Linked DNA regions of Rattus norvegicus. The protein of the gene in region 2 interacts with the protein of the main gene of each other region in a pairwise test. Links are inferred from orthologs where the notes say so. Each region holds a gene or a part of one and is shown on either strand. Other genes may lie near its edges.

Region 1 (2,809 bases), on a different chromosome or scaffold from region 2:
TTTCCCAAGCATACCTGCATTTTTGTTATTTGATGAGACAACATGATGATGGTTGCAATGTATTATAACTCATTCCAAGGATTTTAGGGAATGTTTTCTAGTATCTTTACCTTTATGAATGAAGCTAAGGGCAATTTTCTGATCCCCTTTGGTAGTACATCACATGAAGAGTTTGAATTTTAAGTTCTGAATCAGCATAGGCAGCACCCTGTTTATGAAGCGGGGTGGTGGGGCAACTCTGTGTTTTCAGAATTGTTTTTGCTGTAATTAAACAATTAGTGGTTAGAACACTGGCATAGCTTTGAGTTTCTCAGAGGCTCATTTTGTCCTTGGAATCAACATATGCCCCCTTGGCTGTTGATAGAATAAAATCACGTCTGGGATGTTAAGTAAAGTCTGAGGGCTGGTGTGTAACAGGTTTCTGGTTTGTATTGTCTGGCTTGATCATACTTTGTTTTCTATTTCATGCCATGTGCCCTCATCTGTGGTACTTTTGTAAGTCCCATATAAAGTTCCATGAAAGGAAGGCTCCCTGAAGGTTTTGGGAGAATGATATTACATCATATATGGTCCAAGACAGCTTTGATAACTCTAATCGTCCTCCAATTCCTATTTGTGTACTAAATCTCCACTCAAAGGAGACTGATCTAGGCTTCCCATTCTAGGGCAAATAACCATTCTAAAAATGAAACGGATAACATATATTTCATTCATTGATCATTTCCAAGGTAGCTACCATTTCTCACTCACTTTTACAATCTCTAGCATCTAACAATTACTTGAAATTCAAAAGATGTTCAGTTTATGGCTTTTTAAAAAATATGATAATGAGTTCATAGTATCATTTGATGCGTCATAAAAATTATATTTTTCAGATAAAATGCTCTCACTTGATCTAATAGAAAAGTAGTCTTCATTTTAGGATAAAGATTTCTATCATTTTTATTGTTTGCCATGTTGCTACTTTAAATATTGCCTGAAATAGTGTATTAGATCAACGAATCACACTGGTATGGCATTAGCATTGGGATTTATCAACAAACGATACTTTGATGTCGCAGATTTTTTAATTGCAGGGGTGGTATAGACATGTATAGACATGTACTACTAGATATGATTCTGATGGGGTTTTAACCAATTAACTTTTCCACACAGGTTAGTTTCCCACACAGATTAGCTTATAAATGGGGGAGGTCTCTGGTAAGTATCTTACACACTAAAAAAAAAGTCAATAAAGAAAGAATTCTTAAATCCAGCAAATGGTAAGAGAGACTCAGATTCTGAGACAAACTCATAGCTTACTATTTGACTTAAAGTCCAACACACATCTACTGATTCTAACTGTGCTTGTGTAAATTCAGAGCAGGTGATGACTGGATTAGATCTAACAACATCGGACTCTTTCTTGGCGTTACAAAGCCTGCTAACTGAAATTATATATAGGGTCTGCGAGACCAAGCGCTTTTGAAGTCCCTGTAATAACCCATTTTGGAAGGCACATAACTTGTTTGATGGAATCGTCTCCTTGCATTGTATCACAAAGAGCTTTCTCATAGACTCTTAGGCAAGAGCACAGCAAATTAACGAGCTTTGTGTAGTGCAAATTGGTCTCAAGAATGAAAATGAGGGCCCTGTGTTTTCTTAAGCCACACCTCTCAGTCAGGGTATATAAAGGCCGCCTGAGACTACAGAATCCATCACACTCACTCCTCTCCTACCTAAGCCTTCCACTCCTGACATCATGTACTACACCGACTTTGAGGGCTCTGTCTTCCCAGGATGCTACTGGGGCAGCTACGGCTACCCACTGGGTTACAGTGTTGGCTGTGGCTATGGTAGCACCTACTCTCCAGTTGGCTATGGCCTTGGCTACGGCTACAATGGCTGTGGGGCTTACAGAAGATACTGGCCATTTGCTCTCTACTGATTTGCTGTGATCCCCTAGGCACAGATCCATCTCTTCATGAAGGCTCCATGGTGCCTCCCGGTTCCAGCTTCACCTCCTTTTATCCTTTGCTCATCAACCTCTCCCAAGAAGCTGCTTTGTCTCCAACAAAGGAACTGAACATCTAGTTGATGCCTTACTCTGCCTTTCCTGGATGCTCTCTATTGGGACTTTTCCAGAAGCTTGGCAACCACTATAGCACGTGTTGCTTTTGAATATGTCAAGACTTTCATGATTCCCTGTCATGGTGAAGGTGTGGACGTGTCTGTCAAATTCTCAATAAATTTGTCTGAGCTTGCACAGCATTTCATTCCTTGAGTGGAGTTTCCTTTCTTGGTATGTGCATATTTTCTGATACATTCAGTGGGGAAGGGAAGCAGGTTTAATTTTAATGACTTAGACTTAGGAGTTGTGAAGAGGCAAATAATCCTTGATCTTGTGTGATAAGTTAGCAAGAGGGTGGTTACTGTTCCCGAAAAGAGTTGCTTCTCTTGGCTTTTCTTGTGTTGTGAATTATTTTGGCATGGAAGCTGGACAGGAGTGAGACAGCGAAGGAGAAGGAGGGATTTTATGAGTCTGACGTCTCTCATGTCAGGCATACATTGTTTGGCCTCCCCCTTTTATCTCACTGTCCCGGCCTTTCTCCAAGTAAACCAGTACAGGAGAAACTTCCACAGGTATTCTGTGTTAGTGTAGATGAAACTCACTGTGATCTGTCTCCCAGGGAATACCGATTGCAGAGTTTAGCACCATGTCCCCTCTTTAAGGACTCTGGAGCATTAAGTAATAGAGAAGGTACACACATCCTTTGAGAGTCTGAGATTCTGTTAAGCGAAGCAATAAATCCCCTGTATCAAATCATCT
Region 2 (4,509 bases):
ACCATGTGGTTACTAGGATTTGAACTCAGGACCTCTGGAAGAGCAGTCAGTGCTCTCAACCACTGAGCCATCTCTCTAGCCCGCTAGCAGGATTTTAATAGGACAAGAAAACAAATGAGGGGTTGGGGATTTAACTCAGTGGTAGAGCGCTTGCCTAGCAAGCGCAAGGCCCTGGGTTCGGTCCCCAGCTCTGAAAAAAAAGAAAAAAGAAGACAAATGAATCTGATTAACTCTAAGGACTGTGCCCAATGCCCTGATTGGCCCAGCCACATTTCTGTCATGAGAGGGCAGCAGCTGTGCCAGTCCTGACTACTACTACCCTGGGATGGTAGGAGAATGAGTATGAAGTCATTTCAGACGGTTCAAGTGCACGAGGGCTGAGCTCTTGGTTAGGCATACTCACAGGAATGCTGCCAGTGGTGGCACCAGCTCCAAATCTGGCACCTGCATCGTACCCTCCTTCCACCAGCACTGCCGAGCCAGGTGGATAGATGGGACCAACTGGGTAATAAGCCATGGGGATCGTGGAGCCTAAAGGCCCAACAGCCACAGACTGGGCCATAGGCAGATACAACGAGGCGCCAGGAAATGCAGCTGACATGGTGGGGACTGTGGCAGCCCCTGGATGAACAAAGCTTGGACGATAGAGCTAAAAGAAGCAGAAGAGAAGGCAAAATATTTCTGTGACACTGGTATTTGAAATTCCTCTAAGTATTGCTGAGACCATCTCCTGTACTTCAGGCTAGCCTGCAAGAATGTAGGAGTGGATGACCTTCAACTCCTGACTCTCCTGCCTTGACCTCTTGACTGATGGAAATAAAAGCCTGCACCACCAAATCCAGCTCACATTGGGCTGGAGACCAAATCCAGGGCTTGGTGCATGCTAAGCAAGCACTCTACCAAATCAACTACATCCCCAGCCCCTTGTTTTGTTTTGGAAATGGGGTTTGGTTCTATAGCCCAAGACAGTCTTGACCTCAAGCTCCTCCTGCCTGAGCCTTCCGTGTGCTGAGACTACTGGTCTTACCACCACGCATGGCTCATGAGTCCATTCTCAGTTCTTGTGTGTGTGGATCACACTGGTTACTGTCACTGGCACACAGTTTCTGGGTCATTTGCATCCACAGCTACTACTGGGCTCAAGGGACCCAAACTCAGCCTAACTCAGCATGTCAAATAACAAGCAGATAATGCGTTCAATTCCAATGGTAATTATTAACTTATGTTTTAGACGGTTCATAGAGCATTCTCTGCTTCTGAATTTGAAGATTTAACAATGGGGGAGGGGTCCAAGAGTGTATTCAAATAGTTAAAAGTCTAGCAAAGTGCAGTACCTCTGAGTATGCAGGTGGAGCATCAGTATAGGGTGGAGCCTGAGGAAGATGTAAGGTCTGAGGATATACTGGATTCCCAGGAGGCTGCACAGGGTAGGTAGGCTGTGTTGGATATTGACCTGGAATACAAAAGGGGAAGAGAGATGTTGTCTATCAAATTAGGGAGGTGGCAAATAGGAAAGATGCTCCTGACAAAATGCCACTCTTCCTGAGGACCCAAGTTCTGTTCCCAGCATCCACATCTGACACAACCTCTTTTCAACTCTAGCTTCTGTCTTTGTGGGCACCTACCCTCACATTCACAGACAATAAAAAAAATTTGTAAAACGGGCAGTTAACTTGGTGAGCTCAAGCAGAAGAATTGCAAACAGATTGCCCCACAGGGCCTTAGCTCTTAGAGCCAAGAAAATAAAAGATTGTCTCTGCACCCTCACAGTGGAAGGTGCTGGGTTCTGACTGGGCAGAAGGCGCTGTTCCCACTAGCATACTGATGGAGGAATCAAGTGTAACTTGGCCCCGTTCCCTCCCAAATAAAGGACAGGTCTGAGAACCCGTGCCGGGGATTCTGGATTGCTGGTGTTTTGGGGGGACTTCTAGTCCGGGTAGTCTCCCACGGACTGTGCGGTAACCAGTGCAGACTCTGTGGAACCCACGGTTCTGCGTGTTACCTCACGGGTTGGTTCCTACTCAAGGTCGACTTCCAAAGAGTGAGTGAATGGAAGTTAACCATGAGAAGGGCGGCGGCTGGGGGCGGGAGGTAAACGCGACCATGGTCTGACAAACATTAGCACAGGCACGACTATAAATCCTGGCCCTGAGGAGGGAGCGCGAAAAGTCGAAGGCAGGCGGGAAAGGATCCTTGAAGGCCGGGACTGGGCAGCAGAGCCGGCACCTCACGAGTTAAGCTCGGCCAAGGCCTGTTGTTCCGAAGCGCGGCGCCCCGCCTCTGCCGGTCCTCCATTGGCCTACCCAAATCCCTGCTCTAGCTCCCCATTCGCTCCAGCCGGTGTCAGTCACGGAAAAACACCCCCACCTCACACACTGGAGCCCGCGGCTCCAAACTGCGCCACAGAGTTTATGGGGCCGGGGCCCGGAGAGCCGAGTTGCTGCGGTGTGTGGGGGAGGGGGGGCGGACACGTCAGGTGCGGCCCCGCTCCGCGGCCTGCTGAGGAGAGCGGCCCTGACCGCCCCGAGCCCGCCGCCCCCGGGCCCACTCGACCCGAACCCGCCCGCGTCCCCGACGACCTCCGCCGCTTCCCGGCCTTGCCTTTGCTGTTCATGGTGGCTCTAATCCACTTCCACTCGGCGTCGCGGACGGTTATTTTTCTCGTCCTCTTCCTGTTCGGAGTCACTTCCGTGTCACGTGACGCCCGTCCACTCTGCGTCAGTCGATGCCCGAGTGCACTGCCGCCGGAAACCCCGCCCCCTCGCAGGCCCGCCAGTCGCTGCAAGGAGGGCGCTTACAGCCCCGCCTTTCTCGGGTGCCCCGCCCTCCCTGCGCGCTCTGCTCTCACCTCGCGCAGCTCCTTCCCGCGCGGCCCCGCCCTCCCTGCGCGGTTTCCCCCTCACCTCGCGCTTTAGGCTCAACTCATGCCCTGCCCTTCCTGCGTGGCTCCGCCCTCCTCGCGCTCCCCGGGTTCCCCGCTCTTCCTGCGCGGCCTCGCCTCACCCGGTGCCCGCTATCCTCTGCGTGGCCCCGCCCTCCTCGCCCACACCGCTCTCCCGCGCGGCCCCGCCCAAACCGCGCTCCCCTCCCTCACCGCATGCCCCGCCCTCCCTGCGTGACTCCGCCCTCCCTGAGTGGTCCCGCCCTCACCCCAAGCTCCTCATTCCTGCGTGACTCCGCCCTCCCCACGCTCCCCGGGGTCCCCGCTCTCCCTGCGCGGCCCCACCTCACCCCGTGCCCCTCATACCTGCGTGGCCCCGCCCTGACCGCGCTCCCCGCCCTCATCGTGTAGCCCCGCCCTCCTTGCCCTCCCTGCGTGGCCCCGCCCTCACCGCGCACCTCCTCCTCACCGCGAGCCCTTCCTCCCCGCATGCCCCGCCTTCACCAGTGCCCCGCCCACCCCTCACACCGGGCCCTGAAGTTCGTAGAGGGCTTGTCTTAGGGCGGCGCCCTTGCTCTGAGCCACCTCTGGACCTCAGATCCTAGCCTGTCCCGCGTTCCGGTTCTTCCAGGCCTCCTATTGACGGTCCAGCGCCCGGGGTCGGTGACCTTGCCCCCGCGCCCGGATCCGTGCGGAGGTAGACCGTGTCCCCGCGCCCTGCTTGGCGCCCTGATACAAACCATGACACCGCATCAAGCTCCTGCCCTGAGATGGACCGTGCCCCGCGCAGGCTGACCCTGGCCTGGCACGTCCTAAGGGGGCCTGTAGTCTCCTACAGACGTTGTGTGTGCCTTAGCCCACTCCCAGTTGTCCTGAAGGGTAGAGGCGACGTCTCTTAGGACCGTGATTACACTTTTCCCGTTTCCTCATGGGCACGCACAGAGTGAGGAACCGACGCAGCTGTCTGCAGAAGTTGTGTTGTGCGCGCTCAAGGAGACGGAGAGGCTCTGGAGCGAGAGGCCCTCGGTGAACGGATTCTGGATTCGTCCAACACCAAGAAGGCCTTGCTTGTGTGTCAGGTGACTATCACAGTTTGCAAGGCGTCCTGTAAATGCAGTTTCATCCAGTCCCACACAGCAGCCCGAGAGGCAAGCGGGCTTATCTGAGCATCCCTGCTTCTCCAACAGAACACTGATGGGGCTGGTGGGGAGGCTCAGTGGTCAAGAACACTTATGCTCTTCCAGAGGCTGATCTGGTTCATCCTGGGGACCACCTGCGCATGCGTGTCGTAGGTTCACGCAGACACAAAAATAAACATTTGAGAAGAAAAGAAAAACTGATCTCGAGGGCAGGTTACAGACTCAAGTTTTGTGTTCTGCCTTCCAGGTTCCGGGATCAGGATTTCCATTTTGCTTTCCTGTAGACACATAGAGCATGTATAGGCTGCACTAAATAAAGGCTGCTTGGGAACTCTTTTAGGTTATTTTAAAAATTCCCTTTATGTGTTTATATTATTAGTTTGATTCGGATTAAATCAGTATCATAAAGCCTGTGGTATTTGCATCTCCTTGACTATCTAAAGCAAAGCACCCATAGACATGATGAAATAAAAATAATAACAACAGATA
Region 3 (3,838 bases), on a different chromosome or scaffold from region 2:
ATGTTCAAGAGCAGGTTACTGACACAGTGAGGTGAACTTGAAGACTGTTTTTTCACACACTAGGAAATACCTGTAAGGAAAGCAGTTTACATAAGCACTGGCTTTTGTTTCTGCTGGTGGATGCCTCATTTTTCTAAATTTGGTGTTATTTCAGGCCAAATTGGCAAAGAATTATGGCATGACTCGTATGGACCCTTACTGCCGCCTGCGTCTGGGCTATGCTGTTTATGAAACTCCCACAGCACACAATGGCGCCAAGAACCCTCGATGGAACAAGGTTATTCAGTGCACAGTGCCCCCAGGTGTGGACTCGTTCTACCTTGAGATCTTCGATGAGGTGAGAGATGCTCCAATGTTACAGAGTTGCCAAGTTTGGGATCTGGCAGCCATGGGTGTGCTGCATGTGCCTTGTGGTTGTAGTCATGAGGCTGTTCTACTGGTGCTCAGGACCTTTGTACCTAGCATTTAGTGACTAGTGACAGGGTGTAACCTGCCTGGACACCTGGCATTTAGTGGCTGAATGACAAAGTACAGTTTCTTTGACAGTGTCCATTAGGAGCCATCACCAGTGATAGAAGCATGAGTAGAGTGTGAAGATAGATGTTCATGGATAAGTCGAATTACAAATAAGTCAGCACCCTCAGTGAGGGGAACACTGTTCTTGCAGGCCTCAGTTCCAGGCTCTGACACTAATGTCCCATGGCCATACCAGCAGTTAGGTGTGCAACTTTTTGAGGGCAGTCAGGAAACTCAGGTGGCTGAAGATGTCTTCTCGCAGCTTAGTTCTGGAGACCATGTGCTTGCCTCCTTGAAACAGAGCAAAGGGCAGTGGGAAGAGAATGGGGACGGTGAGAGCCAGAAAGGAAGTGGGCATGGGTAGTCCAGCGAGGGGGACGCAGCCACTCATTTGTCTTTACCCCCTTCCTCTGCTTTCTTCTTCAGCGTCTGTGAAGAGTAGGGATATGGGAAGGAGGGTTGGGCTATGGATGGGCTGGCAGCTCTTGTCCTTGTCTGTACCTACTGGGCTTGAGACTTACAGCTTCTATCTAGTTGATTAGTTAGGGCCACAAGGACTGCAGAGGACAGTGTCCATCCCTGAGCAAGGATGGCAGCCAAGAGATTTCTTTATTGTCCTTTGGCCTGACCTTATGGTGGTTACTCAGAAGATGCAGAAGTAGTGGTGGCCAGGTACAGGTCACCTGGATGTCTGGGATTGTGGTTTAATGGGAAGCTCCTTGGAGGAAGCTGGAGCAGTGAGAGGAACCCTGTCCTGCCAAGAACACAGAAGGTAGATGCAGGCGGCAGTCCAAGCACAGCCTTAGGAAAAGCTGGTCTCTATAACATGGGTCGTTGAGGGCCATAATGAGGTCATTTTACTCTTGTCTTCCTCAGCGAGCCTTCTCCATGGACGACCGCATAGCTTGGACCCACATCACTATCCCCGAGTCCCTGAAGCAGGGCCAAGTGGAGGACGAGTGGTATAGCCTGAGTGGGAGGCAGGGCGACGACAAGGAGGGCATGATTAACCTGGTCATGTCCTATACGGTGAGTTCACTGTCTGGCGAGGCCATTCTCAAAGAGGGTCTGGCACCTCCTTGAGATAGCTATGGCTCCCAGAACCTTGGGAAGTCATGGGAGGCAGGGCTGGGGGTCTGGTTTCCCACTGTCTCCTTTGTATTATCTGGGCCTTTCCTTTTAGTTGTTCTTGAGCCTTTGAGAACAGGGGAGTATAAAGCACCCGGTATGCAGGCCTCCTCCGCTTTACCATCCTACATGCCTCTCCTGGTGTGGAGTGTCACCCATCTTTAACAGGTGCTTTATGTAGCATAGGTCCATTGTATACTCGCTCATCTACAGTTCAAGATTATTTGAGCTGGGGCAGGAGAGGTGACTCAACAGGTTAAGAGCACTGCTGCTCTTGTGATTCCCAGTACCTTCATGGTGGCTGACAACCAACTGTAACTCCAATTCCAGGGGATCCAATACCCTAATCTAACCTTCACTGGCATCAGGCACACACATAATGCACACACATATAGGCACACAAAACACTAAGATATGTTAAATAAAACAAAGCAGTTCAGCATTTCCGAGAGAAGCTACTGATACTGATGCAGTCTCCAAAATGGACCCTGAAGGGAGCTTTGTAAGTCCTGTGTGAGAAGTGGTGTGGTTGTAGCTCGTGTGAGCCAGTGGTTGACATCATTTGTTTTCTTTGGTCTTCACCTTGACTCTTGTTCTCACTGAAACTGAAACTCATTCCATTCACTAGATTGGCTGGCTAATGAACTTGAGGGATCTTCTTGTCTCTGCCTCTCTCGTCCTAGGATTATAGATATGTGTCACACACACACACACACACACACACACACACACACACACACACACATAAACATAGCTTTATATATGGGTGCCGGGGATTGAACTCATGTCCTCATGCTTGTGCACCAAGCACTTTCCTAACTGAGCTGTAGTTCTGAGTCTGCAGCCCAAGTCTTCCAGCTGAAGGGAGGAGGTCTGCAGGAGTGGTGCAGATGAAACCAGTGGCCATGGACACTACATTCTTGCTGAGGATTCCATGTCTTGGGTGTTGCTGTCTGGGCTGTGGCTAGGACTAGCCCTATGATACCAGAAGTAACAAGATTGACATATGGTATGGTCCTCCTTGACACCCATGTTTTTCTTTGTTGTGTTTCAGTCCCTTCCAGCTGCCATGATGATGCCGCCTCAGCCTGTGGTTCTGATGCCAACTGTGTACCAGCAGGGTGTTGGCTATGTGCCCATTGCAGGTGTGTACTGCTTCTTTGGTAGGCATCCCAGGGACAAAGTAGGACAGGAGGAGGGAGGGGCCCAGCATTCCTATGAAGCTTGAGTAGTGTAGAATTGTGTAAGCATGGCTATTTTAAATGAAGACCTTCTAAAACCTACTCCAGTGTCATATTTGAATTATTTTTGTATACATAGGAAGTAGTGTTTGCTCTGTTTTTGCCACAAGTAAGGTGAGTTGAAATTTTTAGAGGTGTAGAAACGTTGTCTAGGAATATTTTCATGTATGAGTTGTAGGAATAAGAAAATCTGGTTCCTGTTAGACAAGGCATACTACATCTTAAATCATGGCTTTCGTTGAAAGTATTTACCCATGTAAATTAATACCTGCTTGAGTCGTAAAGTCAAGATGTGGCTTTTATATATTTTTTTAATTTTTAACCTTCCTGTGGATTTCACAGTACCTGGTGTCCAGTTGGCCTTCCTACCAGAGTAGGGCAAGCCAGATGAGATCACACACCTGCTTTCTTAGCCAACAGGAAAGACTGTGGCTCTGAGAGTAGACACCAGGGCAGGCCTTCAGGACCCCTGTTCTCTGCTAGGGTTCAGGAAACTGGAGTCCAAGCAAACCATGTAGTCCTGCTATCCCAAGGAATTCAAAGGCTAAGGCAGTAGGGATGGCCAGTCCATAGGGCAAGAGGGAATATGAGATCCTGGATGGGGCTTTGCCTATATGGTCCCTGCTTGCTGGTGCTCAGAGTGAGCATTGCTTTGGATCTAGGACAGCACAGAGCTGCTGTGGTTCATCTGTGTGGGGTCTGAGGGTTCCACACAGTCAGAATGGAGTGACTCATTAGTCTTTATTAAACTTAGCCCTTACGCCAGCTGAGCGAGGGAAGATAGTACAGGACTTGGGAATGAAATCCACCCACACATATCCTGAAAACAGCCCTGACAGACAGAACTTGGGCCTTCTGCCTATGACAAATCTCCCTGCAGGGACAAAGGGCAGCGTTTTCCAAAGGAAAGGGAGGGTAAGTTCACAGGGTTCCAGGGCCCTGCAGTATTTGAA
Region 4 (4,339 bases), on a different chromosome or scaffold from region 2:
TATGTATGTATGTACATACGTATGTATATGTATATGAAATAGCTCTTCAGGTTTTAAAAAAATGGTGTGTGCTCCTTAAACAATTCAGGCAATATAAAGATAAGGGAAACTTGAAACCTAACTATCCTCTCTCAAAGATAGTCGCTGGTTACATTTTGGAGAATCTCTTTCCTGAAATCCTTATGCTTTTATATTCTCGAACTTCAAATAAATTGAAGCTGTCTAATCATGCTGTTTTTGCAATCAGTTTGCCCCTCTGACAAGATGACAAGAAATTGTGAAAAACCTTTCATGTCTAAAGATATTTACCATCATTTTAAATGGCTGCTTAGCATTACGTTGAATGTATGCATCACTATTTATTAAATCAGCCCCCTATCGATGAATGTCTACATTCTCCTCAACTCATATTCAACAACCTCCTATAATAACCGTGGGCATTGTTTTCTAAAAATTTCGATCATCTTTGCAAATTAAATACTTATTAAGTAATGTAAATGTAAACAAATGTCCTTTTTACAGGAAGATTCAATTTGGAGAATCGTCCTCTGATTTTCAGGGATGCCAGTGAAGCAGCTGCTGCATTAGTTCTAGCGAGACAGTGACAAACGGAGATCGCGAGAAGAGTACAGAATTACAGGTGAGGTAGCCAATCTAGGCCCAAGCTCAGTGGGTTGGAATAGTCCTTCCCCCTTTTCTCCCTTTCACTTCTTTTTTCTTAACATGGAGGAAGGACTGAGAACTGCATGTCCCAGCATTTCGCAAGGATCACACTCCTGGGAACTGTAGTACCGTGTCTGAGAGGGGTCCGGAAGGAGGGAATGGGAAGCTGTGTGCGGCATGCTGGGAGGTGTAGTCCCTCGGGCGGAAGGGGTTGCAAGTGTAGGTTGGAGACGTAGAGAGTTTTACTTCATGGAGATGAGGCTGCAGAAATATCCGACTTCTCTCTTAAGAGGTCTTTGAGTTTACAAAATCCCGTGGGAGTCGGCTTCATTCCCTTGTCTGTGACCCAAGAGGGTGCGGTCCAGGACCGGCGCAGGGTTGGGAGATCCAGGCCGCGCAGGGCCGCAGCAGAGCACACCGGGAGTTGTAGTCCAAGAGCTCTGAGGCTGTGGGACGTGTCGGGACAGCGCGCCGACTCCTCCTCCCCCGCCCTTCTCAGCGGTCCCCCGCCCCCTCCCTCCGCCTCCTCCTCTCTTGCCTGCAACCGAGCGTCCCCTTCCCCCACTGTCGGGTTTCTCCGCGGCTACTGCAGAGGATTCAGATCCGAGTAGCTGAAGAGAAGGAGGAGGAGGCTCCGGTCCCTGCGCGCCATCCACCACCCTACTGGACACGGACGAGGGAACGAGAGCGTCGCCGCTGTAGCCTTCAGAGAAGACAAGGGCATCGCCGCTTCTGCTGCCGCCGCCGCGGTTTTCGTCTGCAGCAGCTCGCCGGTGAGGAGACCCCCTTGGCCCCCGGCCCGCTCCCGTGGAGCCTGGGCTGGTGGCGCCGGGGAGAACGAGGGTGGGGGCCGTAGGGCCCCCGCGCCGGCTGGGGGGAGGGGACCGAGGTGGCGATGGAACGGCGGGCTGGTGGGGGAGACTTGTCCGTACGCGGGCTGGGGGTGGGGTGAGGGTGGGACACCAGCAGGTCAGGGGAGGGTAGCGGGGGGTGGATGGGTGAGGGGGGACGACTTTACATGGAGGGATAACCAGACCTGGGATAGGAGCATGGGTGTGTGGGGTACCGAGGTGGAATTTGGGATTGTCTTGGGGCGAGGTGGAAGGTGAGATTGGAGTGGGATGTGTTTTAATGGGGGAGGGGACTGAATGAAGGTGATGATTTGGGGTTGGCCTGAAGCAGTTGACAGCTTGGGATCAGAACGGGGTGGGGGCTAAGGAGATGATTTCAATGCCAGTGAGATATAAACATTGGATGGGACTCTGGGGAGTGCTAATTTTGGAAGGTGGGACTTGGGGAAGGAAGATGGAGATGGTAGGAGCTGGGGGTGAGGGGTTTGGCATGGGTTGAGACCCGAGCTTGAAGTGGGCTGTTGTCTTCTGGGGATGGTGGAATTTATGACTACTTACAGAAATAGCTTGGGCTTGGAGAGAACAGAAGAGGTAGAATTTGTTTGGGGTTTTCTTGAGGTAGGCTGCTGGAGGTTTGAATTTGGGCTGGGAGTGATGAGATTTCCAATTACTGGAGATGGGTGAGGTAAGCTGACAGGAGGGAGGGAATTGCAAGTTGGGCCCCAAACAGGAAGACAGGGATTGAAATTGGGGATGAGGGCTCAGTGGGGAAGGATTTAGGATGAGTTTAGAGTCTCTGGAGGGAGCAAGGTGGCTCCCCTGAGCATAAGTTGGAGGTAGGGGGTATGTGAAACTACTCAGCTGGACTCAACTAGAAGAACTGTGGCAGGTGTGGAGCAGGGTTAGGGATAGTATCTCGCTACCAGTCTCGCAGAAGTCATGTCTGTGATGAGCTGGTTACCTGCGGTGAGGTGGCAGAGGGTAAATTTAAGGCCTGGGAGACCTAATGTCTCCCATGGAGTGGGTTGGTTTATTTAGGAAAGGAAGGACTAAGATGTCCTTCGACACACCAGAGGTTTAGGGGTTAGAACATTTACATCGGGCTGCTGTGGTGAGAGACAATAACAAGGCCATTAGAAGGGTCTTCACCGGGGACAGAGAAGGAACATTAAAGATTCTCCTAGAGGATATCTTATGCTGTCAGTTTGACCTTTTTGTTTTATGTTGGAATTGTCTGGAAATAGCAGCCCCCAGGGTAAAGTTTTGAGAGAACCATTTAAGGTAGAATTAAAGGAGAGTGGGGAGTCTTGCAGTTCCTATGTCTAAAAGGGAAAGTTGGGGGTTAGAGGGGAGATCCACTCTTAAAGGAAAGGTGGGAGAAGGTGAAACTGTCTCTGCTTTCTCCTCCCCCCCCCCCCCTTGGTACACTGAAACTAGTCCTAGAATTCGGAATTTAAAAGGACTCTGATGAACTTGAGGTTGTTAAGGGTGCCTTCTTGCTTGAGAAGTGATTAACGAATAGGAAGACTGAATTTATTTTCTAGGCAGGCAAGGTATGTGTGTGCAGAAAGAGGTTAGCAAGCCCCACCTCCCCCCAATAAAATTGATTGCTTGAAGACTCCATTTATTGGTGTCCTGGTTTGCAAGGCATTTGGGCCCATCATTGTATTGCTGGCTAATAATCCTGAGATGAGTCTTGGCACTGCCGCTTTATGTAAACAGAGAGAAGACAGGAACTATGGAAATGTAATAAATATTCATTCTTTGGTGAGATGGTTTGGTACTGATGGAATTTTTCATTTGATTCTCTTGACATTACATGATAGGATTTAAAATAATTGGGCTGTTTCTATAGATTGAATTTTCTTCTAAAGAAATTCAAGTGATCAGAATTCTGTCAGGTGTGAATAAATGAAGTCTAATACACAGCCATATTTTATTGTTAAGGGGATGCTGTTGATGTAGACACATTGCATTCACTACAAGAGAATAACTCCCATCTATTCATCAGAAATTTGATTTGAAGCTTAGAGACGAGTTTATGCTTGTGGTTGGAAGGCCCAGAGGAATGTGAAGAGAGGGAACATCTTTAGGGAAACAGCTTTCGGATTTAATTGCATTAACTGTGATATGCTAAACTTGAAGTGGCTGTTGATTAGAGCATAGTCTAGGGAAAAAGTGAGGAGAAATGGAAAGAAGATAAAATTGATATCAATGGGAATTAAAAAAAATTTTTTTTTCTGTTAAAGTTCTAGTGTTCAGCTAGAAAACAAAGCATTTTCCTTGGTTTTCATAGCTTAACACATAAAAATACCCATTTAGAGGGTGGACTTATCCTTGGAATTGGAAATGTCCCTTTTTTTTAAAGGACGCTTTCTATATTCTAATCAAACCAAACCAAATGTAAACTGAAAACAAACAACAACAACAACAAGAAAAACCAAATAAATTCAAGCTTGAGCAGTTACCTGTAATTCATTGAGAGTGTAATCTAGCCAATGAGGGCCTTTCTCCTCATAACTTTACTCTGGGGTCCAGACCTTGCTTTTGTGAATTTGCAGGCATGCTCTGGACATGGGCTGGTCATGGTAAAGTCCTGGATTTTGAAATCTCAAAATAAGAAATCAGGTGGGAGAGCTGTTTGGGTGGATTTATTTTTCCAATAGTCATGGTTTACCTGGGCAGTTGTGAAGCAGACACTGGTAAAAAGTAGAGAACGGGTAGAGGGATTGGTAGCCTGGGTAAAATGAAGAGCCCAGGAATTGAGGAGTCGAGGGTTTTGACTTCAAATCCTGATTCCAACATTTGAAAGTGGAGTGATTTCA
Region 5 (4,294 bases), on a different chromosome or scaffold from region 2:
TTCTAAAGGGCCTAAAACAGCCTAGGGCTGTTTTGTCTTTTGACATTCCTGCTGATTAGTTTTTCCTTTAACTTGAAACAAGGTAGAGTCACCTGGGAAGAGGGAATCTCAAGTGAGAAAATGCCTCCAACAGACTGACTAATAGGTATGTCTGAGCGGCATTTCCTTGGTTAATGATTGATGTGGGAGAGCCCAACCTACTGTAGGCAGTGCAGCCCCTGAGGGGTTGGTTTTGGGCGGTAGAAGGAAGCAGGCTGCGTATTACCCAAATAAACCCTTTTCTGTCCTTGTTGCTTTTAGTCATGGTGGTTATCAAAGCAACAGGAAGTGAAGTGTGACATTTTTCTCTCAACAATCAGTATGTTCTACTCCACCAAGATAGGGAGAGAAAGGTATCAGAAGAAGCTCACAGAATCAAATATTGACATACCGGCACAAAAGCACCCCTAGAGAAGGCATGGACACAGTGAGCTGCTAATGTGCTAAGTGCTTTACAGACATCAAAATACTAAACTACGTTATTTCTTCTCCATTTATGTAATTAAGTGAATGCTGTTTTGTCTTTACAGTACAGGTTCAGAGCGGTTACATAACATACTCGGAGTCATAATGTCAGCAAAACCAGTCTGAAATGGTGATTTTATGACCCAAAGCTAGTGTGTCAAAGCACTATTATTATTTTTTTTACAAACCACTCAGGGGTTCAATGCAACACAGTCTCTCTAAATAAAACAAACAGACCTCAACAAACCTCAACATCTTTGCTAATCACGTCTTTTACGTGGGCATCTTGATCTTAATACAATCTATACCCTTTCCCCAATCCCATCAAAACAAATCACTCAGGTTTAGGGATTAGCGGTTTTGTTAATAATCATCGGAAAGAGAATATATTTAAAACGTTATTATTATTATTATTATTATTTTTTTACATGAGCCGAACACTGGAGCCCTCAGGGAAAACTGAATAAATAAAAGGAAGGAATGGGGTTGAAGAGATGTCTCAGGGGTGAGAATGCTTGTTGCTCTTCGTGGAACTCAAGAGCAGTTCCCAGAAGCCACCCGGGGCTCACAAACCCCAGTTAATTCCAGTTAACTTCAGTTCCTGGGGATCCAACGCTCTTTTCTGGCTTTTGCCGGCACTTGCACTCACACAGCATAAGCTCTCATATACACGTTTAAAAAAAAAAGATTAAAGAGAGAAAGAGGAGCATTCGGGTTCTTCCTACTCCACCTACCGACCACAATCAGGTCCTTCCCTATTCTCCCCGCCACTGCCACTCAGGCTGTTTTGCTTCAGTGCGCAGGCGCGAGGCTGGAGGCTGGGCCGTGGTTTCCTAGGAGACCGTGCAGCAGCTGCGCTGCGGTTGGCCCGAAGGGAAGATGGGGGTGGAGCCGGAGGAGGAAGGCGGCCCTGCGGAGGAAGAAGACTTTTCTCGTGCCATGGAGCCCTCGGACTCGGGGGCTGCGGGCGGCTCGCGGGGTGCGCGCCCTCCGGGTGATGGCGGGAAGGGAGGAAGGATGTGAAGGGCGGGTGCCCGGGGCGGTCGTTGGGTCGCGGCCTTCTGGTCCCGCTCGGGCCTGGAGAGTGCGGGCACTGCGTTGGCTGCTGAAGACTGGGGTGATGGCTGCATTCCTGCGCACACCGGTGGGGTGCACTTGTCTCCAGGGCGGGCAGGCCTTCTCTGACCTCCCGTGGGGACCCCTGCTGCTTCCGGCGGCCCCAAATCAGAGAATAGGAGGATTTTTGTCACCCATTTATGCCTAGAAACCTGGCCTCTGCCTGTGTTGGAAAGGATGGCCTGAACCTAGCAAGCAGGCTGGATTCCCTAGGTGACCCACTTCCACCCCAGCCTGTGGACCAGCCTTGTGGCGCCAGAATCAGCGCTGGGTACCCATTCCCTGACACATCCCACCTCCGGTTAACAGAAAAGTTGTGGCAGACAGGTTTCTTTTATATCAGCATTTTACATCTCCTTGGTACATATATTAAAGTCTGTACACAACCAATCCTCGTTTACTGGAAGACACTATATGCTCAGATTTTCTCAGTTTCCCCACAAATGTGCTTTTCCTAGCCCAGGGTTTCATTTAGCCTGCTTTGTAACTAAGGAAGGAAACTGTCCCTGTTGCTTCCTGTTGGACTCATAAACTACTGTTTACTCACTGGCCTGATGGCTTCATTCAGGTGCAGCCCTGACCCCGGTTTTTAAAATTAGATACTCAGTTTTTTAATTCAGTGCTTAAATTATTCGATTTCTGTTGCACCTCAGACACTGTTGTAGGCACTGGGGACTTTAAAACAGGAAATATTAACTCTTGTGGGGACTTAATTTAGTGTCTTGGAACCCACAGGTTGGGTTGTTTTGTTTTGTTTTGTTTTTAAATGTAGGAACAGGCCACTTTGAGTAGTTCTCAAGTTGGTTGAAAATAACATTGCTACAGTTTCTTTGCCTCTACTGTTTAAAAGCTTCTCAAGACCCTAAAATAGTACTGGGTTTTGTGCCATCCGTTATCGATCAAGAGTTCCCCCTTAAATTAACTAGTCAGAAGAAAAAGTAGCTGGAGAACTTATAGTCAATTAAGTTAATTGAGCAGGACTGAAGACCTTTTTGTTGATGGTGTTTCATGTCTTTTTGATTTGTAGGTACCGTAGAGCTTATTAAAAGTGGGGATTGGCTACTTCATAAATCCAAGGGGGGAGGGAAATGTCAAAGCCACTATATGTTCTTTTCTAGGTAAAACGTTTGAAGGATGTGCTAGTTGCTCTTTGACGATTAGCAGCCTGAATATGCTTGTTTTCCTTTGTGTATCGTGCAGCAGTTTGCGATCAAGGGGCACCATCACGAATCGCTTCGTCCAGAGTCATAGTACATGTGGACCTGGATTGTTTTTATGCCCAAGTAGAGATGATCTCCAATCCAGAATTAAAGGACAAACCTTTAGGTAATCCACATCGATGCTATCTTTGTTGAGTGGCGATAACATTAGCTTCAACTATGATTTATTAACCATTTTGAGGCAATTCCTGGAGTCCGTTTTTAGGTACTTCATTGGCGGTCATATTTGCTTTGCAGCCAGGGGTAAATGCACCAAATGTTTCCACCTTAATAAAGCTGATATTAGCATAGGTAACACACGCACAGAAAGCAGAATGGGCTCTTAATAGTCGTAGTAGCTTACTTCTGAAGGCTCAGCCTTAAGCAAGGAAAGTGGGTTTTCTTTCATGCACACAGAGAGGATCTTTACTATTAGCATAAAGGACAGTCTTTAGCTTCCTTGTTTCCTTCCTTTTCTTCTAGTACTCATTGCAGTGTCATAGCGTCCAGCCTGTGATTCCACGAAGGACAATGGGATGCCTAGGTTTTAGTTCTCCAGGGTGAGACTAAAGCTTGAAGCTTTTCTAAGAGGCCAAGGATTTAAATTAGGCCATCAGTTCTTTCCCTCTGAAAGAATTTCCAGTTAGCACAAGATGCCCAGTAGTTACTTCGTACTAAAAGGTATTTTGTGGTTAAGGAGTAGATATAAGTGGTTATCATGAAGAGAGATGTGAGTGTGCAAACAGGTCAGGCCAGGGCATACTGTGGGAAGCCCTTTTAGCTAAGGAGTTTGCCAGTCTGGCCGTTTCGTGTATGGCTCACAGAGTCATGGATAGCTACCATTGACTCAGGGCCTCTCAGATATTGAAAAAAAAATGTACCTGCAAAACTAACGTTCTGTCTTAGGACATTAGGTTTAAAAATATGCAAAAAGAATGGGTTTAGGTGTTTTTCATATTTTCATTCTATGTATTGCAGATGAATATGACTTAAGAGAGTCATGAAATAATCAACTTGTGTAAAAAGAGAAAAGCACATGCGCTTAGCAATTTTAAATGTGTTCTATAGATGATCATAATGTTGCCAATTTTAAAAAGCCCCACATAATTCCTCGCGGTAGCACTACTAATTGTTATGCCTAGGGTACTTATTGGCAGGAGATCTCTCATGATTTCTGTGGCTTGGCTCTTAGAACATTGCTTATGTTCACTGGCAGTTTGCTCGGAAGATGAATGTTTTTATAACATCAACCAGCATTTAATTGTTTTCTTTTGTTGTTGTTTTTGTTGTTATTTCCATCAGGTTATTGTTTGGTGAACATACCCAAGAATAGTACACGACAATATAAATTAATTGGGCTTTGAATTGTCTGAAAAGAATCTTAGAAGGATTAAATGTGTGTTTAATCACTGAAAACTCCAAAGAGTATATTGACTTAAGCATAATTTAGATTTGAGAGACACAGCTTCCCTTTG
Region 6 (4,370 bases), about 130 Mb from region 2:
CTCCACGGAGCGGAGCCAAGTTACATTCATAGGACTCAAAATGGGGGCCATCAGGAGGGCAGCAGCCACCTCTCCGGCGCTTAGGGCCCGGTTCATGGTCCTCAAAGCCCCTTTCCGGAAGGTCATAGATGTCATAGAGATCATGCCGTCGTCCTGGGGGAGCAGAGCCTGTCGAGCCTCCACCTCCAGTGCCTCCTCCACCTCGAGCCTCAAACTCAAAATCTCTTTGCAGGTGACGAAACTTGCACTTGGTTCCTCTCTGACAGTCACCTTTGAGGAAGTCACGGCAGATAGGGACCTCCTCCTTACCATTGGGTAGGTCAGCAGGTGAGAGACCCAGCCCAGCTGCCACTTTCTGCCTCAGCCGAGGAGGCAGCTCTCCTGTTTTCTTATAGCCATCCTCATCCTCCTTGGAGCCATGGATGAAGCGGCAGTTGGGACGGCTACACTCCTTGTTTTGGAAGTCATGGCAGAAGATAAATTCGTTTTTGCTTACCCCCAAATTGGATACCTCACTCATGTCTGGGTGGCGGTATCGACAACGCTTGCCTCGCTTGCAGACATTCCTCAGGAAGTCTCTACAGATGGCATCTGAGGTGGCCCCCCCACTGCCTGTCCCTGCTCCACTGGCCTCCTCACTGCTACCACCTCCAGGGCCTGCACCGCTGCTCCCAGTGCCGTTGGCATAGCTGTCCCGGTCAGGCATCCTGGTTCCCCCCAGCTCAGGGTCTTGTTTCTTCTCTCGCCACTCTTGGTGACTGTTAAAAAAGAGAGAGAGAACGGTGTCAAACAGGTCCTCCAGAAGCCCCCAGTCCTCTGGGGCAGTGGCTCTGGAGATGGAGAGCCCAAGGAGAAGCCCAGCCGGCCCAGCTGCCTTGCCAGAGCCCCGCCTAGGCCCTTGTGCACCTGGTCTCATTTGGAGTGATTCACACTTGCCTGGCTAACAGAAGAGGGAGAGAGCTGGGCTGAAGCCACTTCTCTTACTAACATGAGCCGGGGAGGGGGAGGGGGGCAGTGTGAGGTTTTACCTTCTCTCTTCTAAGTCGTGGGAGAGAAACTAAAGCAGGTGTTGGTGTGTGAACACTGGGCTATTTTGCTCTGAGAACTCGTGGATGAAGGGACACCAGAAACAGAACTTCCCTTAATCCCTCTTCAATGTGAACTCAGCAAGTCTCCATGAATTGTAGAAACCCTTGGTAAAAAGACTGGTGTCACTAGTTACAGGGTCATCCTTAAACCTGTTCATCTCCCAGTCTGTTCCACACACAAACACCCTCATTTCGGGGAAGAAGCTCTGACCTGAACTTTCTACTTCTAGATCCTAGGACAAACTGTGGGATGCTCAAGGTGGGAAGGGGTTAATTTCACAGGAACGGTGACCTTTCTTTCCCCATTCTCCACCCCACTGCACTCCGACTAATATCAAACCATAGCACTCCTTACCCCATACAAATCCTCTTTATTTATAGACTCTATAAAAGCTTTTTAAGTCTCCTGTTTCTCAAGAGAGGTCTGGAATGTAGATCCACTGCCCTAATTCTAGCCCTCCCTTCTCTCTACCCCTAAGTAAGACTGGGAGTCCCTGCTAACACGTGTCTAATCTTCTAAATGTTCCCTAAATACTCAGGCTCCCCCTACAGGTCAAATAGGAGAGGTTCATAGTTTCCGTTTGGGAATAAAGGTACCTTTCTTGATTTCTTTGACCTATCCCATTCACACCCGTTTCCTTGACTTTGCCTTTAGATTTCCCTAAAATAACTAACAAGATTAGAAGCCAGAGATACACAAGAATATGCAAGATGGGAAGAGCAGACCCAGAGTAAAAGAAACAAGTGGTTAAAAACAAGCCCTTACTGAAAGAAAAATGACGACCGGGTGAAGACTAAATACCTCCAGAGCCTCACCTATATTTCAAGTCCCACCAGAAGCAGGTAACTGGATATGATAATCTTCCTCACCCCATTATCCCAGAATTAATACCTGAGGTAGCTCAGGTGAAGTCCGGGGCTCCCGTGAGTCTCCACCTCCACATCACTGCTGGGTTCTGAACAAGAAAGAAACAAAAAACCTGGAGATTTGAGTAGAACAAGGAAAACAACGTGAAAGGGCTACGAGGTGGTTTTCATACACTGAAATGAATTCTAATAAAAAGTGGCTTTTAGGCTCCCTTAAGAGTTCAAAGTGCCAGTCACCTATCATAGGGAGAAGTCCCTAATAAAGATAGGGCTAGGACCGACCAATAAAGATTGGGAAGCTGAACTGAAAAACAAAATAGTTTCTGGTGGCAGAAGGGTTCGGGGAGCTTTACCTCAAGATGAGAAGGATATGGGGTTCAGAAGGTTGGATTTCGGAACGCCAAACCTGAAAGCTGGACAAGGGCAACAACTGACTACTGTCAGTGGGAAGGCGATCTAAGACTTGGGGGCGGTGATTACGACGGTCCCCAACACCCTAGAGTTCACGAAAAGTCCTACGAGTTCCCCTGGAAGTCTTCTGGCTTGGCCGGCTCCGTGATGCGGCGCCAGCACTGAGCCGGGGACCAGGTGACTAGGACACTAAGGAAGCGAAGTGAAAGGGGAGGGGGGCTAAGGGTGACATCAAGCTGAGGGGATGGGCAGGGCTGTGACGTCACGGAGCTGGCGTTTGCTCGGGAAGCGAGGTCAATCAGAAAAAGGGCTCTGTTCTGGGTAACCAGGAAAAGCCAAGCCAGGTCGGTTCGGGGGGGGGGGGTTGTTGGAGGAGGCTCGTGGGGCCCGGCAGAGCCCAGCCGATGGGCCATCCCCGACTCCTCCCCTCCGGGCGCGGCCTCCACCTAAGTCTCCCGCCTCCCTCACCTGCCGCCGCCGCCGTAGTTGCTGCTGCCGCCTGCCGGTCCTCTAGCTTCGACAAAGAGCCGCCCACCCTACGGCTCTTCCGCTTCCTGCGGAAGAAAGGGACGCTCTAGCCACCAGACCCGGAAACACACTCTATGGTCCCATTGCGTGCTCTTAACCGCAGGAAGCTCCCAGCAAGCCTTGCGCGTCACCATGGTAACACGACTCCTCCGCACCCGGAACTCGCACAGCGTCAACTTCTACGCAGGGGCCCCCCAAAACATAGAAGTGGCACTGCGAATGCACGAACTCTAACTTAAACTCAGGCGCACACTAAATCAACTGGCTCCAGCCAGATCGCAAACACCCGGGCTCTTGTTGCCTACACTGGACTACACAACTCCCCACCCAAAGGAGCCGCAAAAAACACGTAACAGCGATTTGATTCTTCAGCTGACAGCAAGAGGGTTTATTGTACACGAGTTACACTTGGCCACAAGAGAACAGAACTAGTCCAGAATGCCAAAGGTCCAGGGCAGAGGGCCAGCGGGACTGTTTTGGTTGTGAGGAAGGTAGTCATTTTCCCAGCTGATCTCGGCGAGGTGACATTCCGGGTCTACTGAGACTTATTACCGACAGCAGCATACAGTCCAACCACTTGTTCCGGGCTTCAGCATCCCTTACTTCTGCTCCCGCAGGCTTCGTGGGTGCACAAGATGGTTTACTTGGACCTCTGCCTCATCTTTCTTCTCTTGCGCTTCAGCCTGGAAAGGCAGGCACACAAACCGAGTTAATTTTTTCCCCTTCCCACATTTACCATCTGCACTTCGTACAAAATACGATGAAATTAAACAACACCAGCTCCGATGAACCGTGCTTAAACGTCCCTCCACGCCAAACATTTTCACATTAAGTTTCTTCTAAACATCCCACCCCAAGCTTTGCCCCTTTGCCCCAATGTTAAGTCAAAAAATTAACGTACCTGCGCATTCTCTTCTTCCGCCACTAAAAGCCCGATCATGTGAGAAGACAAAAAAGAATGTTAGCAGTAGGCCCGGGTAAGAACATTACTCAGAAAACAGGTTTGACAAAGAATCAAGAGTTGGTGCGGCACTGGCTCAATTTTAGATCCGAATCTTGTTTTCCCACCTTCCTCCAGCTACGACTTAAGCCTGTACTCGGCTCTGTGAAAACCCGAAGCAAACCGTTTGCAAACCCGATGAAGAACCATGGCGGAGATTCACTGCCTGATTTTCCGCCTCACAATTCCTTCCTACCGCCCAAGCTCACCACTTATGAACCGCTCACCTTCGCTCTCATGGCGCAGGAGTCTCTAGAAAGAAAGGGAAGAAATTGCCGTTAGTCTGCTGTGATGAGAGTAAATGTGGAGGTCGGATGTTAATGGATTGTACTCGAAGTCGAAACAACAGCTAACACGGTAACTCACCAAGGAAGATGGCGCTAAGACCGAGAGAGCGGGGAGTCCGGCCTACTGCTATTTAATGGCGTGCTTGGTGTCGTCACTTCCGAGCCGCCCCTTCTGTTTCCCTTAGGGAG
Region 7 (3,838 bases), on a different chromosome or scaffold from region 2:
ATAGCACATCTGTCTCAATACTACTTTTGTACCCCATTCCCAGCACACGCCTGCCAAGCCCCTGGAATGGGGAAGACCTCGCTGTACAGCATTCTAAGGGCATGCGTACCTCTCATAGTGGCGGCGTGTGCATGTAGCCGCACTGGTGCTGCCCGGGCTACCCCCAAGTTCATCATACACGTTCTTCCAGAGGCGGCGGCCTGTCACCTGTAAGACACCAAAGACGGGCCATTGAGTACCCTCTGGCCACAGAACCCTCTCAGCTCCAGGCTCCCCTCGCAGGGAGAGGATGAGAGCTGAATTTGGGGGGTTCTTTCTCCAGCTGTGCCAGTGGAGGGTGGAACAGTGGATAGGAGGAAACCTGCTTAGAGATACAAAGTGCACAGTCGCTCATCCCACAGCACACAGGCAGGGCCTGGGTGTTCTGATCTTCCTCCAGTCTGCAGGCAAGGACAGCCCTGCCAACCACCCTGCTCCTGCTAGGGGTATGGCTGAGGCTGGAGCTCAGGAAGGGACTTGAGAGTCTTCCTTACCAGCTCATAGGCCCCCAGCTTCTCCACTGCCTTGTAGATCTTCCACAGGTTAACTGCAGGGAAGAGGCAAGGCAGACTGTCAGGCTCTACAACCCCACACTCCCAGGCAGGACCGCTGTTATACATGGGGCAGGCTGGCAGATGGCCAGGAGGATGGGAACCCAACTCCACCCCTGGCCTTCAGGGAGGCACTGTCCTCATAGGCAACCCTTATAGGCTGGTGGCATCCAGGGTCACCTGGAGCAGAGGTGCCTTGCCTGCTGTCTTGCCTGGGGGGATCCCCTGGCTGCCCCCTATATCTACCCCCCTGCACCCTTTCCCCCTGGGACGCACTCTGCTTGAAGCCAAGATGGGGCACCCTCTCGATGGGCGTGTGTCGCTCCTTCATGAACTTGTAGAGGCTGACCAGGAAGGCCTGTTCTTCCTCCTGCTCCCCACCTGCCTTAGGGGAGTCCTAGGGAGAGAGCAGGAGGCATGGATGGGCCCCATTGATGGGCAGCTGGACACTGGAAAACCACGGCTGTGGGAAGGACTAAGTGCCTAGGTCCCGACTGTGGGCTACCTGGGAGCACCAAGCCTACTGTCCCGGGTCACACAAGTGCAACCCAGACTTAGCGCCCAGGTTCATGTCAATGGCTGGAATCCAGAGCTCCAGAGTCCTGGAAGTGGCCACAGGGCCAGCCCTCAGCCCTCCAGGCCAGGGCCACTTTTATATCTTGCTATGATCTGTTTTATCCAACTCAGCTCTCAGAAGGCAGGGTCAGTGTTCCTAAACCATATGGTAAAAGCCAAATGCACACCAGGCAGTGGTGGCGCACACCTTTAATCCCAGCACTGAGGAGGCAGAAGCAGGCAGATCTGTGTGAGTTTAAGGCCAGACTGATCTACGGAGAGAATTCCAGGACAGCCAGGGCTACACAGAGATACCCTGCCCCAAAATCCAAAGTTCTAAATGCACAAAGGCACTCAGTGTTTCCTGGTACCAAGCGGCCTACAGCCTGTAGCTTCCCGCTATCAGTTTGACAAATGGGTGGGAATAGGCCTTAGTGCCTCAGACGTATGTTCGTCCATTTCGTGACTGAGTCCAGGTTGTTAGATTATCAGAGTTCCACTACAACTCCGGGTGAGGTCCTGCCTTGCCTAGCACCCATATCCTGCACCTTCCAATGTGGGGCCCCAGGCAGCCCTGCCAGATGAGGTAGACACCTGTCTCCCTCTCCGAGCTTGGGGTGTCTCAGGTTCCCTGGAGGCTGGGCCCAGTGGGAAGAGGTCCCAGGATTTGTCCAACTCACCTCAAGCTGGATGGGGCTCTGGCTCTTGCTCTGCTCATCTTGAGGCTTGGGGGACACAGGGGGCTCCTGGAGGTCACCTTCCTCTGATTGCTCCGCTTTCCCCTTAGCCGAAGGTGCTGCTGGGAAAGGGGAACAGAAGAGGAGAGGCAAGTGAGATGTGGGTAGGAGGGACTGTGGGGAGGGGGCTGAGGGATGGGCCTTCACATCAGCCAGGGAAGGGGTGAGTGCTCTGTGCTGGTCAGTGCCACACTGAGCTGTTCCTCTAAGCAGCACACATGTGCACGTACACACGCACGCTTGCACAGACACACTGGCTCACCCTGGACTATCAGCCATTCTCTATTCTTTTTTTATTTTAAGATTTATTGTATATAAGTACACTGTAGCTGTCTTCATACACACCAGAAGAAGGCATCAGATCTCATTACAGATGGTTGTGAGCCACCATGTGGTTGCTGGGAATCGAACTCAGGACCTCTGGAAGAGCAATCAGTGCTCTTAACCGCTGAGCCATCTCTCCAGCCCAGCCATTCTCTATTCTTACCTCCATTTTAATCACTCCCCTACGTCTCTGCAGGAAACCCTCAGCCTCCTCATTACTGTCCAGGATCAAACCAGAGGAGTCTGGGTAGGATTGGGGACACTCTCTCTCTCTCAAATCTGCCCAAGTTCAGGGAGAAAGCACTAGAGTAGCTCGGCTGAATGTCATCAAGGCTTCATCCTTGATGTCACCCTACTGCTCTTAGGCCCTCAATAACAAGGTTCTTGATGGCCGTTCAAAGCAGACATAATCCCTCCCTCTGGGTAGCCTTGGCTAGCCCCAGCTAACTCCAGCACTCCTGTGTCCTTCCTTGTCCTGTCCGTCATGACTGAACTGCAAACTGCCCAAACCCATGAGTCCCCTGGCCCCTGGTCAAGACAGCTGCTAGATAAAGGAATGATAGAGGTTCTTGGCTTGTGATGATGACCCGGGGGAAGTCACATGTGCCACCGTGTACTGAAAGCTGTGGCCTGGGCAGGAGGTTGCAAAAGCAACACAGATTGGCCACTGCAATACACACACACACACACACACACACACACACACACACACACATATATATACACATATACATATCTATATCTATCTATATCTATCTATCTATCTATCTATATCAGGTGATGAGGCAAGTTGCCATCAGATTTGGACCAAAATTTTTAATTAATTATTTAATTAATTAAGGTAATGTCTCACTGTGTAGCCCTGGCTGGCCTAAAACATAGAGCAATCCTCCTGTCTCTGCCTTCTGAAGGATGGGGTGACAGGCATTATATGATACTGTATGGGGTGGTTCTGATGCTCTGATCAGAAATCTGCGTGTGAACCCTGAAGGTCCTGTTCTCCAATTGGTTCTTGATTGATCAATTACGATGCTACTGGCTACTGGCTGGGCGGAAGAGGCAGGGCTTCCAGATTCCCTGCAGGTGGGCTAGCAGATACAGGAGAGGAGAAAAGATTTGCCATGCTTCAGAGGGGGGAAGAGCCAATAGCCATGTGAGGTCTCAGGTGGGTAGGGTGACCATTGGCCTAGACTGGGCCTAGGGTAGCAGGCAGGAGATTAGAGACACAACTAATTTGAGGGCAGATTTAGGGTGTTGAGCTGGGAGTGAAAAGAAGGGTGTGGTAGTCGAGGAAGGCTTAGAGTCCAGCTGTTAAAAATAAGCTAATGTGTGTGTGTGTTTGTGTTTCATCTGCGGATCCGAGGTGGCTCCTGGGTGAGGGCTGGTAGCTCAGTCTGCCCTGAGCTTAAAGGGAGGTATAGAAACTACATGCTACATGATACCATGTCCAATTAAAGGGCTGGGTGTCCCAGAACTCGCTCTGCAGACCAGGTCAACGGCTGGAATCCAGAGCTCCAGAGTTGTGCCAGCCCAAGGCCTGGAAGTGGCCACAGAGGCAGCCCTCAGTCCTCCAGGCCAGGGCTACTGCTTTGATCTGTTTTATCCAACTCAGTTCCTGGAAGTCAGGGTCAT

Evidence for each region.
Region 1: the proteins of Dazap2 (region 2) and Krtap8-1 interact in binary tests that used the Homo sapiens proteins (3 or more experiments, as listed by UniProt). The two-hybrid records come from large-scale screens. The link is inferred for Rattus norvegicus from reciprocal best matches to the Homo sapiens genes DAZAP2 and KRTAP8-1.
Region 3: the proteins of Dazap2 (region 2) and Tollip interact in binary tests that used the Homo sapiens proteins (3 or more experiments, as listed by UniProt). The two-hybrid records come from large-scale screens. The link is inferred for Rattus norvegicus from reciprocal best matches to the Homo sapiens genes DAZAP2 and TOLLIP.
Region 4: the proteins of Dazap2 (region 2) and Fam168a interact in binary tests that used the Homo sapiens proteins (3 or more experiments, as listed by UniProt). The two-hybrid records come from large-scale screens. The link is inferred for Rattus norvegicus from reciprocal best matches to the Homo sapiens genes DAZAP2 and FAM168A.
Region 5: the proteins of Dazap2 (region 2) and Poli interact in binary tests that used the Homo sapiens proteins (3 or more experiments, as listed by UniProt). The two-hybrid records come from large-scale screens. The link is inferred for Rattus norvegicus from reciprocal best matches to the Homo sapiens genes DAZAP2 and POLI.
Region 6: the proteins of Dazap2 (region 2) and Zc3h10 interact in binary tests that used the Homo sapiens proteins (3 or more experiments, as listed by UniProt). The two-hybrid records come from large-scale screens. The link is inferred for Rattus norvegicus from reciprocal best matches to the Homo sapiens genes DAZAP2 and ZC3H10.
Region 7: the proteins of Dazap2 (region 2) and Arid5a interact in binary tests that used the Homo sapiens proteins (3 or more experiments, as listed by UniProt). The two-hybrid records come from large-scale screens. The link is inferred for Rattus norvegicus from reciprocal best matches to the Homo sapiens genes DAZAP2 and ARID5A.

What each region holds. Positions count from the first base shown.
Region 1 is NC_086029.1:42,203,451-42,206,259, reverse strand, and holds Krtap8-1 (keratin associated protein 8-1), read left to right. Parts: upstream 1-1,696; 5' UTR 1,697-1,741; coding exon 1,742-1,927; 3' UTR 1,928-2,254; downstream 2,255-2,809. UniProt on the Homo sapiens protein: In the hair cortex, hair keratin intermediate filaments are embedded in an interfilamentous matrix, consisting of hair keratin-associated proteins (KRTAP), which are essential for the formation of a rigid and resistant hair shaft through their extensive disulfide bond cross-linking with abundant cysteine residues of hair keratins.
Region 2 is NC_086025.1:133,592,041-133,596,549, reverse strand, and holds the start of Dazap2 (DAZ-associated protein 2), read right to left. Parts: upstream 3,014-4,509; 5' UTR 2,904-3,013; intron 2,849-2,903; exon of another isoform or gene 2,780-2,848; 5' UTR 2,615-2,779; coding exon 2,602-2,614; intron 1,454-2,601; coding exon 1,335-1,453; intron 650-1,334; coding exon 404-649; intron 1-403. UniProt on the Homo sapiens protein: In unstressed cells, promotes SIAH1-mediated polyubiquitination and degradation of the serine/threonine-protein kinase HIPK2, probably by acting as a loading factor that potentiates complex formation between HIPK2 and ubiquitin ligase SIAH1.
Region 3 is NC_086019.1:206,398,424-206,402,261, reverse strand, and holds part of Tollip (toll-interacting protein), read left to right. Parts: intron 1-154; coding exon 155-337; intron 338-1,392; coding exon 1,393-1,545; intron 1,546-2,698; coding exon 2,699-2,789; intron 2,790-3,838. UniProt on the Homo sapiens protein: Component of the signaling pathway of IL-1 and Toll-like receptors. Inhibits cell activation by microbial products. Recruits IRAK1 to the IL-1 receptor complex. Inhibits IRAK1 phosphorylation and kinase activity.
Region 4 is NC_086019.1:164,468,223-164,472,561, forward strand, and holds the start of Fam168a (protein FAM168A), read left to right. Parts: upstream 1-1,224; 5' UTR 1,225-1,436; intron 1,437-4,339.
Region 5 is NC_086036.1:66,406,772-66,411,065, reverse strand, and holds the start of Poli (DNA polymerase iota), read left to right. Parts: upstream 1-1,349; 5' UTR 1,350-1,383; coding exon 1,384-1,483; intron 1,484-1,498; exon of another isoform or gene 1,499-1,648; intron 1,649-2,820; coding exon 2,821-2,946; intron 2,947-4,294. UniProt on the Homo sapiens protein: Error-prone DNA polymerase specifically involved in DNA repair. Plays an important role in translesion synthesis, where the normal high-fidelity DNA polymerases cannot proceed and DNA synthesis stalls. Favors Hoogsteen base-pairing in the active site.
Region 6 is NC_086025.1:1,559,164-1,563,533, forward strand, and holds the start of Zc3h10 (zinc finger CCCH domain-containing protein 10), read right to left. Parts: upstream 2,879-4,370; 5' UTR 2,835-2,878; intron 2,450-2,834; exon of another isoform or gene 2,309-2,449; intron 2,069-2,308; exon of another isoform or gene 2,045-2,068; 5' UTR 1,981-2,044; exon of another isoform or gene 1,905-1,980; intron 1,745-1,904; exon of another isoform or gene 1,029-1,744; intron 759-1,028; 5' UTR 707-758; coding exon 1-706. Other genes in the region: Rpl41 (small ribosomal subunit protein eS32), read right to left, coding at 3,535-3,577, 3,796-3,818, 4,122-4,133. UniProt on the Homo sapiens protein: Specific regulator of miRNA biogenesis. Binds, via the C3H1-type zinc finger domains, to the binding motif 5'-GCAGCGC-3' on microRNA pri-MIR143 and negatively regulates the processing to mature microRNA.
Region 7 is NC_086027.1:46,036,891-46,040,728, reverse strand, and holds part of Arid5a (AT-rich interactive domain-containing protein 5A), read right to left. Parts: intron 1,945-3,838; coding exon 1,826-1,944; intron 988-1,825; coding exon 867-987; intron 587-866; coding exon 534-586; intron 208-533; coding exon 110-207; intron 1-109. UniProt on the Homo sapiens protein: DNA-binding protein that may regulate transcription and act as a repressor by binding to AT-rich stretches in the promoter region of target genes.